2 linked regions of the Daphnia pulex genome follow. The protein of the gene in region 2 purifies or fractionates together with the protein of the main gene of each other region. This does not show direct contact. Links are inferred from orthologs where the notes say so. Each region holds a gene or a part of one and is shown on either strand. Other genes may lie near its edges.

The links.
Region 1: the proteins of ubiquilin-1-like (region 2) and 26S proteasome non-ATPase regulatory subunit 4-like purify together in Drosophila melanogaster (affinity purification with western blotting; 3 studies listed by BioGRID, with this or other methods). This does not show direct contact. The link is inferred for Daphnia pulex from reciprocal best matches to the Drosophila melanogaster genes Ubqn and Rpn10.

What each region holds. Positions count from the first base shown.
Region 1 is NC_060020.1:3,403,509-3,411,785, reverse strand, and holds 26S proteasome non-ATPase regulatory subunit 4-like, read right to left. Parts: upstream 5,157-8,277; 5' UTR 5,030-5,156; coding exon 5,004-5,029; intron 4,815-5,003; coding exon 4,674-4,814; intron 4,607-4,673; coding exon 4,495-4,606; intron 4,432-4,494; coding exon 4,276-4,431; intron 4,208-4,275; coding exon 4,120-4,207; intron 4,057-4,119; coding exon 3,929-4,056; intron 3,867-3,928; coding exon 3,578-3,866; intron 3,513-3,577; coding exon 3,286-3,512; 3' UTR 3,224-3,285; downstream 1-3,223. Other genes in the region: GTP-binding protein 2-like, read right to left, coding at 1-14, 643-852, 1,200-1,265; vesicle transport protein SEC20-like, read left to right, coding at 2,149-2,232, 2,306-2,499, 2,555-2,647, 2,709-2,830, 2,895-3,082; golgin subfamily A member 7-like, read right to left, coding at 5,834-5,890, 6,137-6,238, 6,300-6,452, 6,628-6,768, 6,832-6,846; DNA-directed RNA polymerases I, II, and III subunit RPABC1, read left to right, coding at 7,227-7,283, 7,348-7,436, 7,491-7,692, 7,755-7,973, 8,038-8,103. UniProt on the Drosophila melanogaster protein: Binds and presumably selects ubiquitin-conjugates for destruction.
Region 2 is NC_060019.1:8,122,110-8,130,386, reverse strand, and holds ubiquilin-1-like, read right to left. Parts: upstream 4,001-8,277; 5' UTR 3,837-4,000; coding exon 3,738-3,836; intron 3,637-3,737; coding exon 3,351-3,636; intron 3,284-3,350; coding exon 3,093-3,283; intron 3,031-3,092; coding exon 2,851-3,030; intron 2,786-2,850; coding exon 2,628-2,785; intron 2,565-2,627; coding exon 2,299-2,564; intron 2,223-2,298; coding exon 2,051-2,222; intron 1,979-2,050; coding exon 1,837-1,978; intron 1,768-1,836; coding exon 1,629-1,767; intron 1,568-1,628; coding exon 1,497-1,567; 3' UTR 1,131-1,496; downstream 1-1,130. Other genes in the region: cytoplasmic dynein 1 intermediate chain-like, read left to right, coding at 47-207, 279-419, 479-604, 688-933; zinc transporter ZIP1-like, read right to left, coding at 4,316-4,722, 4,798-5,036, 5,100-5,324, 5,397-5,524; protein hairy-like, read left to right, coding at 6,845-6,916, 6,993-7,094, 7,194-8,117.

The sequences.
Region 1 (8,277 bases), on a different chromosome or scaffold from region 2:
AGACGCCATTTCATCTGCGCAGCCACCGAAAGGAAGAATTCTTTAGTTATGCAAATCAAAATCAATCCATCATTCATCATAAAGCGTGCATCAAAATCGTAAAGAACATCGGAATATTGATTAATGCCCTTGGTATGATAATGAATCACTTTTGGCTACCGTCCCTGTGGGCTATTTATTACTTAAGGTCTAGACCAAAAGCACCCTAAAAAGAATATATACTTTCAAAGTACAATGCTGCGAAATTCCTGGAATCTGTAACTTGAATTTGAAAGCACTAGATGTCGTTTTCAAACTTTCCACGTGTAATCTAAATAAAAAATGACGTCATGCAAAATAATCACAAACGTCATCAAAACGTGTTTCAAATGACCGGGTCCCAAAAGTGCATTGAACCATATTTCTCTAAACTGCTTACCTTACCATATACAGCCTTAATGACTGGGTTTTGACTAAAAGATTAATGATACAATTATGCAGTAAGATTTAATCTCTTGTTTTGCTTATTACTACAAGCGGGAAGAGTTATGGCGGGTTTTTCTCCGCATGAATTTTTAATTACAACTGAAAACATTCTTTAACTAATTGCTTATTTAAAAAATGGATGAGTGCACATCCGTGATATACTAGCGTTAGTAATACCTGCGTGACAAGATGCTGGATCCGTTGCTCCGAAGGGTTCACTAATTTAAGTTTATATTCAATATTGCCGGATTGCGGTTCTGGTGGTAGATTCTTCTTTTGGTTGCTGTTACTGGCCAGAGGATCACCTATTTCGAGCTGAGAAATCCATTCGTCATCGTCTGAATCCGATCCATTGTCGTACAACCCCAAAAATGCATCCATAGGGTCCTTTTTTTAAAAAGAGATCATCACAATAAAGTCGTAAATAAATAGAAAAAGAAAGTGCATCTTATTTATTGGGCACTCTACAGTCTTGTTATCTGGGTCAGAAAAAATAGTAAAATTCAGTGTTTACTTTCACTGCACTCTTATAAAAATTTTAGGGAAACCTGCCCCACTGTTGGTCGTTTAGAACACGGTAAACAAAAGAATTGGGGTTTGAAGAAGAAAAAAAGAAATCTGAACAAGTCTGAACACGACTATAGAACATAACGGATATCATGCTGACGTCATGTGACAACAAAGGACTGTGTATAGCGGTTTCCCTTTCACAAAATGTGATGAAATATACTTACGGGGCTCCCGATGGATTTTGTTTTATGGCGTTTGTTTTGACGCTGCTGTTGAATGACTATGGCCATCTTCAAAATATAGACTAGTTAAAGCCCAAGGAGACCTAAAATTTAGCGACCACCAGTACGAGCGAAGGGAGCTAAAATGTGTTTGTTGTTGTGGTTTACTCGAGAATAACAAAGCTACGACACTAAAATTAAAACTGCCGAATGGGCTTTGCCAAATGCGACACAGTTTTGTGCGCAATATTTATACTTTTTGTTGATTTCCAAAGGTACTATTTATACTACGGTATTTGTAAGCTACTTTTCACTTGGCATCAAAGATGGGTCGACAAGGGATCGACTTGAACACAACACAAACTGGGCGCGAAATGAACTGTAGTAACTAGGCTGTCCGAGGTATCATTTCATCTAGATTGAGTAGATCACCACAGATTAAACAAGCTACACATCACAATGCACGTCCAAACTGTAACTGCTCTTCTCTATAGGCCAATTCCACAATTTTTTAAAAAGAACTCTGCCAGTAGAACAAACCGAAACCTCTATTCTTTCACTTCTTTCTATTCTATTCCACTTTCGTCAGCATTACAAGTACACTTCCCAGCGGTCCAAAAAGGAAGCGTTTGTTTTGCTTATCACTATACTATGCGCCATTAAAAGAACCGATTTACCTTGAATGACCTCCAGCAGCCAGCACTCTGTCTCCAAGTTTTCTAAACAGCTTAGAAATTATGACGAAACTTTCTTATTACATTAGAAACAAAGATTCTAATCGTTTTAATTATTTTTACGCAATAAAAAAGTACTTCTTTTGGAATGATGCAATTTTTTCTTTCTTGGGCAACGTGGCACACATCACAACAAACCATCTGCTGTGAATCTGTCAGTGTAGCGAATAGCGATAAATAGGCAGTTTCGTGCATTTTACCCCAAATATTAAAATACAATGAAAAATTCTGAAGGTAGTGAAATAGAATCTTTGAAAAATGACATTCTTAAAGGAAATTTGACCATACAAACCATTCTGCATGTATGTAATGCAAATATTAAATTATATTAATGTAATCGGATTGCTATTAATCATCCACACTTTTTCTGTAAAGCAAATACAAAAGACAGATATTACAGAAGCTGATATTGTGGTGTTGAACTCAGAATATCGGTCAGAATTTAGAAAACTTAAAAATTGTATCGATGAGTTTGAAAAAATTTCCAAAGATGAAGATGAGGATGGAGAACTATCTGAAGATGTCAATCTCTTCAAAAATCAATTGAAAAGTCTCCAAAGTGCATTTCGGTAATAGTTTGTAAGTTTTCATGTTTTAATGCATTATTTTCTTTCATCTTTCCAGGAAAGCTAATGTACAGTGCCAACTAACTGTCAGTTTAAAAAACAAAGCTGAACTCTTTTACAGTAATCCTGAAGATATGGAAGTAAGATCCAGGTAACTTTATGAATTTGATTTCTGTCTTGTTGGCTTATTTGAATTTATGTTAAATTTGTAGACAAACTAAATCAAAAGAGGAACTTATCAAAATGTCAACCAATGTGACTGCCAATTTGAGAAGTATAAGTCAATCCATGGCTAGTGTTCTGGAGCAAAATAGAGGAACTCTAGAAGTACTTGGTATGAACAATTAATCCATTTTTTTTTAAATTTAATCAATACTATAAATTAATATATTGTGTAGCTCAATCATCACATGCTGTGAGTGACAATCAGGATGAGTTTAAAGTTATGGGAAGCGCCTTAACAACCACAAAAAAGTTGGTCTCCCGGTTTGGACGGAGAGAGACGACCGATTTGATTTTAATTATTCTAGCTTTGGCTGCATTCTTTGCAGCTTGTGTATATGTCATTCAAAAGCGCATGTTCTAGAGATAAATTTGTACATCAAGATTTTTTGAGTTTCTTTATTCAGTTCAGAAAAATACGAAAACATCCTAGAATAATCAATTACGCAGTTATGTGCCAACCGAACAAAACACCTTCCGCATTACATTAAATGCAGACGTAATGAACAGATGAAAATCAATTTATTCCGGATTCAAACATTCGCGACGCGTAAGAAATCAATCTGTTTACTTGGAGTCAGGCTTTTTGCCTTGCTTTTTGTCTTTATCTTGGTTTCGCAAAGCGTCGACGGCAGATTGTACAGCATCACTTGAAGGATCAACACCTGGAAGCGTTTCTAGGACACTCTGAAGAAATTCGGGATCTTTCATAACTTCATCATAATCATCACTAGCCGCAGCTGCTGGCGTTGGTTCTACTTCCATAGCTTCGGTTTCCGTTTTTACTGGTCCCTCTGAATTTTATATTAAATTATTAGTCTACAAACCGCAACAACATATCACCTTACAAAGAACTTACGAGCTTCTGCCATGGACATTTGCATTGCATATGCAATTTGTTCCTCTTCAGTCATTGTTGCGAAATCGGGATAAACGGGTGCTGCAGGGGCGGCACTGGCTACAGTTGTATTGACACTTGGTTGATCCATAGACATAGCCAACGCACGCTCGAGCATAGCATCTTCGTTGGAAGCAGGGGCACCGCCAATAGTGGTAGCTGCAGCGGGCTCTGTAGCCGGCGGATTTCCCGAACGACGAGCTTCGTCCTCTTGACGCTGACGCTGCTCCTCCATCGACACTCGTAACGCCTTTAATAAGAAAATAATTTTAAAATGAAATAATAAACTATTTAAATAGTGATAACACTTACGAGAGCTAATTCAGGATCTTCATTAGGATCGACAAATTCAAAACCTCCAGCCCCCATTCCAACCGCTCCTGTACCATCTTCTCCTTGAATGACTGGTGAGGAAATCAGCGCATCGGCAAGATGGGGCCCTTTAAACAAAAAATTGATACTGTAAAAATATATACATCCTTTAAAAGGATTTGTAAAATTACCGGGTGGAATGGTAACTAAATGACTGCCAGTGCCATCTTTGCCATTAAGAGTATTGATAAAACTAGCCAGCACTTCAGTTCCTCCATTCTAATAAAATCCAAAATCATGTAAGAAATTACCGAAATAGTTATTTAAAAAACAAAGAAAGAACTCACTTCCTCCCCAAAGCAAATGATATCAACATTAACTTTTTCTTTCTTCAGTTTTCTGGCCAATTTGTTCAATTCCTTTTCATCGAAATTCAGGGGGGAACCTATGAATACTACAATTCTAGTTCGATGATTTTTCCCTTGCCGATGTTTAAGAGCGAGCTATTAGACAGGTAAATTAATATTAGATAACTCAAGAACACAATACTTCAAAATAAATATTACATGGGCAATTCTAACTCCTGTTAGGAGATTGATTGAGCCTTCTGGCTGCACTTGATGAAGCTTTGATAGTATACGCCCAGCATCTGTAGTCAATGTTGCCAGTACCTTGGTGCTGAAATTTAGTGAGGCAACACATCAGTTAGAGAACAAATTGCCGTACAACTTAGCGAAATGCATACTTGGCCAATGTCAGTAGACCAACATTATTTTCTGGGTTAGATCTTGTTTTTGAATGACAAACCATATTAACAGCATCTTGCTGGGCTTGGAGTCGGCTAGGAATGAAATCTCCATTTCGCATGAACTCGCTGTTATCCACACTAAAATTTAAAAATGCCGCATTAACTCAGAAAATTGCAAGTCAACAAGCCTAAAATTCACTCCTCAAGTAGAGCAAATAGATAATCCAAAACAAAAAAATTACTCCCATAATTTGGAATGATATGACCCTTAACTGTTACTTTACCAATTTTCAAATTTAAGATAAGATAGAAACCGGATTTATTTACCAGATCATAGTACTTTCGAGCACCATTTTTGCTTTCTCGATGAAAAAAGTTGTTCAGTCGATGTAAATTTGTGACAATTCATGCGGGGTTGCCAGGAAACCAAAGAAAACGAATTTATCACGATTCTGAATTTCCCGAGTTTTGGTTGGTCCGTTCCTCGTTCTGTACTTCTGTTCCAGTCTGATCTACTAATCCTTTTTTAGGATGATTAAAATTTTTCAGCCTAATCTTTCTTTCAGAATTTATACTTCTCGCGGAGAGAAGTTAATTTATAACCATTTTGTAATTCTTGTAGCTACTTCTTAACTAGTTGGATGCCGTGACGGACAGCGAATTTTCTTTTGTAATTAATTATTAATTTACGCACTAGATACATAAACAGAACTGAATTTATGAGCAAGTTGAAATAAAACAAACACTTAGATAAAAATCAGAAACTTCAATAGTAAATAAATTAGTTAATCTAACAAAATCTGTTAGCTCCTGCTTGGGTTTTTAATGGATTTAAATTTGCAGTATTTAAAATTACCAGTTCACCAATTTAGATCTTACACAAATTTCTACGTTTTATTTATCACCTATTTGCGCTTCCATACGCGGTAGCACAATTCACTTACGTTTGGATATAAAGGAAGCGGTAAATGACGACAAAACCAATTTGTTTCAAAGGATCAGTATTCAAATCACATTTCACAATTTATTCATTTTACAATATCTAGGTAGTTAATGATGATGAGCACATGTTTACACAAACTTAGGATGGGAATATGAAAAAGGAAAACTCAAGTTCATAATTACAAATATATAGATACAAGGATGTCTTCATAAATTTAGTTGTTCCTGGCAGGTGTAGAAGCAGGATTGTCGCTGAAAATGCAAATTTCAATCTGTAGAGATAATTAAGTTAAGGAATGTTTATGTATGAATGGCGTATAGATAAAAATATTCAGTAAAATTATGTTAAATTAAAATTATGTGAAACTAAGTATTACCACATCTAACGATTTTAGGTTTTTTACCATTTGATTTAATATGATTGATACTAGGTATTTTGCTATAATTTTTAAATGTGCTACTTAAGAATAAAACATACAACCTAGTAGCAATTAACTAAGTTTTTTTTAAAAGGATACAACTCTGAGTCCTCGTTCAACAGGGTCAATAATCAGTAGTCCTCTAGGTACATAAACTCTTTCATTTTGTTCAATGATAAATTTGGCCACCTTCTTCAAACACTATAAAAAAAAAGGATGATTAAAGTCAAAATCTAGAGAAGTAGATTCTTACTGGACTTGCCTTCTCAAAATGAGTATCACTACAACAGTATAGCAAGTATGCAGTCAAGCATGCGAAACATCCCTCACAGCATGAGCTACAACTCATTTTTTCTGCTTCTGCATATACCTCATTAAGAGTATTAAGAGTGTACTCAAATTTTTCCCTTTCAATCTAAAACAAATGAATACAGTATTAGAACAATTAAAATGATTTGATAATGATAATAACTGTATATAAATAATTCTGGCATGAGTGCACAATCCAACATGCACACACACCGATTATTTATTTTGACTGCTATTCAACCCTGAACATTAAACAAAATGAAAAACATTTATTTTCTTACCTTCCCTTCCAGTTCTGAGGGAAATTTGGGCTGAAATCTAACTTGAGTTCCTTCACTATAGTCCCTTTGAATAAAAACTTTCTGTGTCGGCGGTGATGGTGCTCCTCTGGCTGAGAAGTCATCAGTTGGGGTCGTTTGTTTCTATCCGTACAAATAAATAAAATGAACAGTTTCGTAGCGACACCACGGTTGAGTAAGAAATACCTTTTTTGACGCCATTACAGTGGTTTTTTTAGGAATAAAGGTCTCTAGAAGGGAAAGGTAAAAGCCATTCACTCCTTAATCTGTCAAATTGGAAAAACCTTATCAGGTACACAGTGATAGTTACTACTCACTAGGTGGCCTTTCCACTCTGAATCTTTTGCCAGGAATAGCAAAATATGGAGGATTGGCTCTAGAGCTCATTTTCACCGCTTGGGGAATGCAGTTAGCACTAAGCATCCAAGAAACTTTGCCACATTGGTAGATTCAGACGATACTTTCGACTTTTCGGCATTGCTCGATTCTTCTCGTCTTTGCTTCTCAATTTCGAAAAAGAAACATCTACTTTCGCACGTGTTGGATTTTTCTTGAACACAACAACCGAATAAAGATTTCTCATGGATGATGAATCGGAAACCTACCGAATGTGGAGAGTTCGGAAGACCATCATGCAGGTAATATCGAATAACAGGTGGTAAATCAAGTTATATTTTCCTGAAGCTGACGTCTCTTTTTCAGCTTTGCCACGATAGAGGGTATTTAGTTACTCAAGATGAGTTGGATCAAACTTTGGAACAGTTCAAAATTCAGTTTGGAGATAAACCAAGGCAAGTATCTTATCACAAAAACTAAAACTGCTTACTTACTAAAGTTTTGTACAGTGAACGGAAGCCAGCTCGCAGTGATCTTATTGTTTTGGTTGCACACAACGATGACCCTACTGACCAAATGTTTGTTTTTTTCCCTGATGAGCCTAAAATTGGAATCAAAACCATCAAAACCTACTGCCAGAGAATGCAAGAAGAAAATATAACAAGGGCCATCATTGTTGTACAATCAGGCATGACACCATCTGCCAAACAGGTACACTAAATGACTAAGTCAATGTATAGCTACTTATTAAAATATATTCTCAATCCATTTAGTCCTTAACGGATATGGCACCAAAATATATCTTGGAATATTTCACTGAATCTGAACTCCTTATCAACATTACTGAGCATGAATTAGTCCCAGAACATGTTGTTCTCACACCAGAGGAAAAACAAGAACTTCTAGGTCGTTATAAACTTAAAGAAAATCAACTGATGCGAATTCAAATGGGGGACCCCGTTGCGCGGTATTTTGGACTTAAAAGAGGACAGGTATCTACAAAGGAGGGGAGTGAAATATTTAGACTATTTATATTATAATAAATTTACTTAACAGGTTGTGAAAATCGTTCGACCTAGTGAAACTGCAGGGCGCTACATTTCCTATCGTCTTGTCTGTTGATATCCGCATTTGAAGTACCACTAAGTTTTTGGTCGAAATTTTGAGACTTCCTCTTTTGATGTGCTGATCGTCATAAAATAAAATGTTTTGAAAAGCCATGTTGCGTGTAAGTCTACTATTATGTCATTTTTTGCTAACTAATGTCAGCTATATTCCATCCATGGGTTCCATCTA
Region 2 (8,277 bases):
AATTCGTTGCATCCTGTCGAAGTAACACGACTATCAATCGAAATAGCTGGTCGTCACGGACCGCGTGCCGGAATTATCGATACCTACGAGGGACACCAAGGACCAATTCGTGGCATGGACTGTCACAACTCTCAAGGACCTATTGATTTTTCACACCTCTTTCTTACGTCCTCTGTCGACTGGACCGTCAAACTTTGGAGTCTCAAGGTGAGAATAGTTTTATTTTTTTATTTTTACGGATCAAGTTACTAATCCATTTCTTTTATTCGATGTTGCAGGAGAACAAACCATTGTATTCATTTGAAGACAATGGTGATTATGTCTATGACGTAGCTTGGTCTCCAATTCATCCAGCTGTGTTCGCCACAGTGGACGGCATGGGCCGTCTTGATGTTTGGAATCTTAATCAAGACACAGAGGTTGGTCTTGTGATTTTTCATACCTCTAAAATTTGGTTTTAACCTCGAATATTATTTAGGTACCAGTTACTAGTATTAATGTTGACGGCAATCCTGCCTTAAATCGTGTCAAGTGGACCCAATCTGGAATGAATCTCACTGTGGGCGATGATAATGGGCGAATTTGGGTTTATGAAGTTGGAGAGGTATGAACTTATCTTGTATATCTTTCGTACTGTTGACTTCTAATGTTTAATGTTTAACTTTTAAATGAATTGTAAATTTTCAGCAATTGGCTGTTCCAAGAGCAGACGAATGGACGCGGTTGGTTCATACACTTCAAGAGTTGCATCAAAATCAGCTGGATGAAGACATGGAAAAAATGAATTTCGGAGTAGGAAGCAGTAGCCTTGGCAGTGGACCTGCCAGTAGTAGCCTGGGAATCGGCAGCAGCATTTCGCAGTTGGCCGGAACCACTTCGCCTCCTAGCAGCTTGGGCAGCATGTCTTCCTCTTCGTCTGCTCCACTCCGCTAGCCAATTAATCCGCTTTTATTTGGGTCTTTGTACACATGTTAACCCAAGTACCTCAAGGATCCTGTTTTTGCCGACGTGCTTTCTATACCTATCTTTGTTTTTTTTTTGCTTTTGGAATGGGAATAATGCACGTGTGGGTACTTGAAATTCTATCCAAGATTAAATATTGAATTACATAAGACTTCACCAACAAAACGTTCTGATCATTTATATATTGGATGGATTCTAACATCAGATTATACAACCAAAGGAAGGGAGAAGTGATAGGCTTGGAAATGTGTCTGGAAAGACCTGGAAAAAAAAACTTAAAGGAGGGTAATAGGACAAGAGATGTTAGACAAAGAAATCAATGTTACAACCCGTCTGACTACAAGAAAAAGTACCTTGTAAACAGTCTTGAAAAGTTAGCGCTCGATATCGAAATCAACTGATCATTTTCAAGATACTCAACCGAGAAGAGTTAGAAAGGAATTACTAGGTGATAAGAAAAGAATGGCAAGAGAGTGGTAAGAAGGAAAGGTAATTATGAAAATAAAAGAACACAAAAAATCTTCAGACAACATTTAAATCATAGGGCGATTCTGCAGTAATCTTTCCACAGCAGCATTCACATCGCCAAAGGTTGCGATCAAGGCTAAAAACAAAAATAAAATTTTAAGAAACTTGTCTGTTTTGAATATTTTCTTAAAAATTACCTTGGAGGTTGGCCTCTCTGTTAATAAATCCCATAGCTGTTAATTGTTCTAACTGTGAACGGTATCTTTCTTCCGGTGGTTGGGTGGAACCACCGCCAATTCCGCTTCCAATTCCACCTTGACCTGCTAGGGAAGTTAGCTATCCGTTCGAAAAATAAATAGTTGTTTTACTGAATTTGTGTGTAAAAATCAATTATTGCGCTTCTACCATGCTTGCCATCATGTTGCTAAAAGCGTCAGATCCAGGCCGGGTAGTCGTCGGTGGAGGAGCTGTTGTCGTCGTATCCGACGCAGCGGGTGTAGTGCTTGCAGCAGGATTCAAAGGCGGAGGAAGAGAACCGAGACCAAGCCTGCAAAATCAATCGAACAAGAATTACATTTACATTCGCTGCCGATTATTATAGAATGAGAAGTTGTCATACGTAGTAGCAAACGATGGTGCGACTTGTCGGAGTTGCTCCATTCCTTGTTGAATCTGCATCATCGCCGACATAGCTTGTGGGTTTGTGACCAAATTCTGAATTTCCGGATTATTGAGCTGAGCCATGAATGTTGGTAGCATTGTCCTCATTTGTTCTTGCATAGCTGGGTTGCCTGATTGACGGTGATATTATAAAATAAATAATTGAAAAACAAAATAACACGAAATGAAACAATTAACTAAACGTACTGGCAAATAGAGGATTGTTGAGGATCATCTGTTCGGCTAGTTGTGGATTTGAACCCATTTGTTGGAACATACTTTGGACATAAGGGGCATTCATCATACTCTGCATAAGTTGCGGATTATCGACAATCTGCTGCATCAAAGACTGCATTCCTGGTGAATTAATCATGCCGGGCATGCCTGGCATGCCTGTTACACCTTGGGCAGCTGAACTGGATGGGCTTCGATTTTCACCACCAGTTCTAGTCTCAGAATTGCTTCCAGGCGACCTAAAAATATAAACGGTGTTTTGTTTCATTTACTATAATAAGCATACTTGACAATAAACAAACTGAGTCGAAGATGGTCCAGACCAGGGATTTGGTAAAGGAGCACGGTTTTCTTGTCCTGCTTGAGGATTAGCCGACCCAGCAAGAGGCCCGGCGTTATTAACCAAAGCGGCAAAAGGATTGCCACCAAACTGTTCTTGAGCAGCATTGAACATTGGCTCCTAAAGAATCAATCAACATCCATCAGTGAGCAAAGCTTCTTGAAAGATTTCCATTTCTTTAAAACCTGAATGTCGCGATACATTCGTTGAAGGGCACTGTAACCTCCTGGAATTGATTCCAAATTAGAAAGAGCCCGATCCTGACTGCGCATAAGTTCCTGCAACATGGCAGGATTCCTTGCAATTTCCATCGTTTGTCTCAACAGTTCTGGATTGTTCATTACATGATTGATTTCTGGATGACGCTGCAAAATTTCAAATTCTATTTTAGTCAGAGTTCCATACTTTTATAACACAGATTGCCTACCTCCAGCAACTGCTGCATTTGTGGGTTAGAAGTCAAAATTTGTCTCATATAGTCAGGGTTACTCATAAGTGATTGAACAAGAGGATTGTCCATCATATTGCGTAGTGTTTCAGGATTTGAAAGTATTTCCCTTTGCATATTTTGCTGCATCTCCATGAAGTTCCCTGAGCCCAATCCCATATTTGATAAACCTAAATAAACAAAAACACAATTTTATAACATAACACTTTTCAAATTTTTTTTTTTTTTTTTACAAACCTGCAAGACCACCCAATCCACCAATTCCAAAGGGAGATGAGGGACTCGGCTCTGCCGGTCTGCTAGGAGTTACAGACGGCTGTGGAATCGTGTTGGATGAAACATTGCTTGGTGATTCCTGTGTGGTTCTGATGGCATTGCCAGATTTGATGACAAGGTGTACTGTGAGTCCATCCTTCAGGTTGTGCCCTTTCAATGTCTCTTGATCTTTAAGAATTTTGCCAGCGAAGATAAGGCACACCTGTTCAGCAGTTGCCCCAAACTTTTCAGCTACAATTTCTTTCAGCTAAAATGGAAATATACATTAGAATGCAGACCAAGAATCAGGATTAAAATAGAGTTCATTAGAAAAACAAATTTGTTACATATTGTTCATTTGAGCATTACCTCTTTGATTGAGGCCTCTTCCGGTACCTCTACATCTTTCTTATCCTTCGGGGTTTTAACGGTCAATTTTATTTTTTGTGGCTCACTCGACTCAGCCATGTTTTAGAAATTCAACGAACACTCGTATGTATTCCAAAATAATTATAGAACAATACAACTTCAGATTCCAGAACTTGTTCGAAAGTTTCTGTCGTCTTCTTGATTACCACATTCGAGAGTAAGGGTAAACGCTGACGTCCGCCAGTGCGCTGCCTAGCGGTTGTCGTCCAAAGCTTTTAGTTCGAACTCCTCTTTCCCCAAGATGTTTGAAATTATGATTAGTCACCATGATTATACGCACTATTGCTTCATTATATTTATGAAAATCCAAGCTTACAGTATCAAAGTACAAATTATGTACACATTTTTATTTATGAAAGTGTTATATGATCATATTCGAAATTAACGCGCCTCATTGTTTGCAAAACAGTTTAAATGTCAAGTTTTCAATAAACACAGAAATAATGTTTTAATAGACCTTGGCATTCATATTGAGTTGAGAATGCCTCTCCAGAGATATAAAATTGGACTTTTATAAACTAAGGACATCTTGGTTTTGCAGTGTCAGGATCCAGAAAGACGATAGCACAAGACGCGGCAAAGCCGAGAATGATGAAGAGCATTTTTGGCGTTCTCAGATCATTGCTATTCAACTCGTGCGGCAGCACTTCGAAAAAGGTCACATAAAGGAACGTTCCGCAAGCCATACCTTGCAAAATACCACTCAATATTGTTGCCTCAAGAGAGTTACTAATTAACTCAACGCCCATTCCGATTCCCAAACCAATCGGAGCAGCGAGACAAAATATTAGAGTCAACTGAATTATCACTCTGGTCCGAAGATTACTCTGAACAAGATTGAGGCTAAGACCAAATGCAATTACACATTTATGGAGCACTACAGCCGCAAAAATTTGCAGAACCTCTTCTACATTTTTTTGCAATCCTGTGATGTTTTGAGAAACAAAAAAAGAGATTAGTATAACTTTATATGAAGAGAGGATTAGAAATTCAATATTACCTATTGCTAATCCCTCAAAAATGGAATGTAGAGATAGAGCCACTGATAATAAGAGAGATCGTAGAGATGAATTGGCTGAATGATGAGAATCATGGCTATGACCACTATGACTATGATGAGATGCTTCATTGATAGGCTGTCCACTTCCATAAAGAAAGGACACCTCAGGATCAGCATTTGTTGCATTTACTTCCCTTGTGGAACCTTGAAGTAAAGGTTCTCTTTCACCAATTTCTTGTCTAAAAAACAAAGTTGAAGCAATGAGTCGTTTTGCACTTAACATACTGTTGTTATCATTTTACTGTGAAGGTTCATGTTTGCAATCAAGAGATATTTGTTCCACAATTAAAACGGTGAAGAGTCCTAGAACAACTAGGAATTCGGCAAATGGAAATGAACTGTTGATTTTCAACGCAACCATGACCTCATCAATGTTGTCTTGCACTTCAGGAAACAAATCTAGTAGACAGGTCCCAAGAAAAACTCCTCCAGCAAAACAGTTCAACAAACTGATTACTCGTGAGTACCTTAAGAAAAGAGAGAAAAACGTACACGTAAACATCAATTTTTGCTTAGAAGAAAGAAAAAAAATATGCGACCTTAGTTTCCGAACAGGATCTGCGACATTTCGGATTGTATCCATTAGCTTTAATGGCAGTAAACATGATAATAGTGTAACCACAAATAACGTAGCTAGAACAATGCTTTTTGCTTTGTTAATGTCCATGGTAGATTAAAGTGAGTTCTTCTTGACATGGGAGTGAAGAAATCAGTCACAGAATTCACTGAATCATCAGTAATTACTTTATGGGTATGACTCAAGCCCAGCAGACGCCCATTGACAGCCCAGCAGTAAACAGTAAACACCATCTTACGGAGATTAACAGTAAAAAATACAAAATCGTTTAGAAATTTGCATTCCCCGGCTTTTCACGCTTTAACGAGTACGAAATGTAATGAAACTAAATTTTGAATATTTTGGTTACTAAGCAACACAAAATGGAATGTTTTGCATACAGTTCACCAAAAGAGTAGAAAAATGATCGCTCAGGCTCAGATCAGAAGCATCAAGCACGGAGCATGGTAGTCAATACGGGAATCTGCAATCAGACTATCAGAGGGACTGTAAATCATAATGTTATATGTAGGCTATAGAATTTGAATAATACAATAAAAAATAAAATAAAATTGAGAAAGACGAAACGCGGTAACAATTGTAGTTTAATGTCAATTAATTTTTATTAAATTTAACCTAATACTGTAGTACCCCAAATAATTTACCCATAGGCTAATTTACTAATCAAATAATCATCATATATTTAGAAGAGTTCACGATAATGTGAGACTAACAAATGCTATGGCCGCACTTCATTTGAAATGTTTAATAATCCGTTAAACATTTTGGTTCTTTTTTCTGCACCTTTGTTAATTCGCTGGCAAAGCCTTCACAAAAAACATTCGATATTTTCGATTTTTATTTCATATTTGTTATTGTGTTATGTAACAGTATAGTGTCTCGTCAGTACGGACAACGGATAATAAATTTCACAGGGAAGGAACCAATCATGGGAAACGTTGCGGCACGCTTACCACGGGGCGAAAGTGTTTTTTTCTTCTGCAGAGACTAAGTTGTTCTTTTTCTGAGGGGCGGTTGAGAGGAAAAGTGAAAAGAGGGCTTGAAAATTACATTCATCGAGCTTTAAGCGTATACGATTATATTGAGGGCGGGGGGAAGAAATGGGAGGTGCTTGGTTTACGGTTGCCACTGTCCTTCATTCAACAGTTTTTCAATGGCAGTTTGTCGGCATTTAAAGGCCTGCGAACCTGTTCTTTTCGTAGGTTCCCAGGGTGTACCACGGAATATTTAGACCATCCTATCCTAGTAAGCCTCGTGATCATCCAGTTCAGTTGGATTCAAACTGTTGTAACGCATACACCTCAACTGTAACGATCCGTTTACTCTTTAAACTTGCGCAGTACTCGTCTGTAGGTTTTTGAGCTAACAAGTCTTACACTTCTGTTCCCTGATTGCACTTAACAAATAAAAATGAACCGAAAAAGTGATTCGTGTTTAACAGATCGTAAATGTTTTGAAGCTCGTGGCTCCGAAAGCAGAAAGGTAAAAGAAATGGACATTTGAATTTCGCAAATAAAATAGTTGTTAACTTTGGCCTTTAAAAAAAATTGAATTATAGGTGCGCAAACCTTTAATGGAAAAGAAGCGTCGAGCACGCATCAACCAGAGCCTAAATGATTTGAAAGATCTTCTCATGGAAACGGACAGCGTAAAAAAAGAGGTGTGTATTATACATATTGCATTCGTTTACATTATATTTTAACTGTTTAAAGTGTTATTAAAAACGAAGCTGGAACTAAATAAAAATTTTAAATTTCAGGGTTCCCGACCGGCTAAACTGGAGAAGGCCGACGTTTTAGAACTAACTGTAAACTACGTCCAGAAGCTTCACAAGGAACGACGTAATAACATGCGGGACAATTCAAATGATGGAAGCACTAGCTGCCCGATCCCTAATGGTTTTTCGCCAAGATCTAATCAATCGTCAAGGTTTAAAGATGGGTTCATCGAGTGCGCTCGCATCGTTCGAGAAGTTTTACACAATCAACCCCAGCAAGCAATGGAAGGAGACCTGCAAAAAAGAGTCGGCCAATATCTTGACCGATGCTTAACTAATTTAGTTCCCGAACTACTGACCAACCGAAAATCGCTTTCACCTTCGCTCGGAAGCGACTCATGCACATCGTTTGAAGAAAAATACATGGACCCTTCCGAATTTGTCATGGACAGCTCTTCACCTGCAAATCGTATTTGTTCATCACCTTCAACATCGGAGGAAAGTCGGGACTCGTGCTCTCGACGGTCATTTTCAAACGAAATCAACAGCTTTGCTGATTTAACATCAACGCCGAATTCTTCACCGAGCAATGCGCTCAACGTGATACCGTCTCGCTGGACTTGCGGTTTCAAGTCCGTTCCATTCTTCGGATCTCCTGATTTGTCAGCTGAGAACTTGAATCAAGGCAACAAGTGGGAAAATCATCAGGTGGTCCCTTCTTCAATGTCATGCGAGAGAAAATGGAAGACGAGCGATGCCAATATCGTGGAACTTTTTGCATGTGGTGTCCCATCAACCAGCGCTTTTCCATCAGATTGTTCTTCCAGCTCTTTGACTTCCAACCAACACTACCAACATTCACCCGAAGTTATTTATCGACATCAAATCAGCCTGTATGACGATCATATTTCATCACCTTCCTTGAAATCGGATGCGGATCGTATGAAAGTATGGAGACCTTGGTAAAACTCGGTAAAACTACGTGATAATGGGTGTCTTGATTTGATTTTGATTTAATTGTATGTTTACTTTCTTACCGAACAAAAATAACTCATAATCGTGATTCATGAATTGTACATAAATGAGGATAATAAATAATATGCCATGTTATTCAAACGAAGTTTCA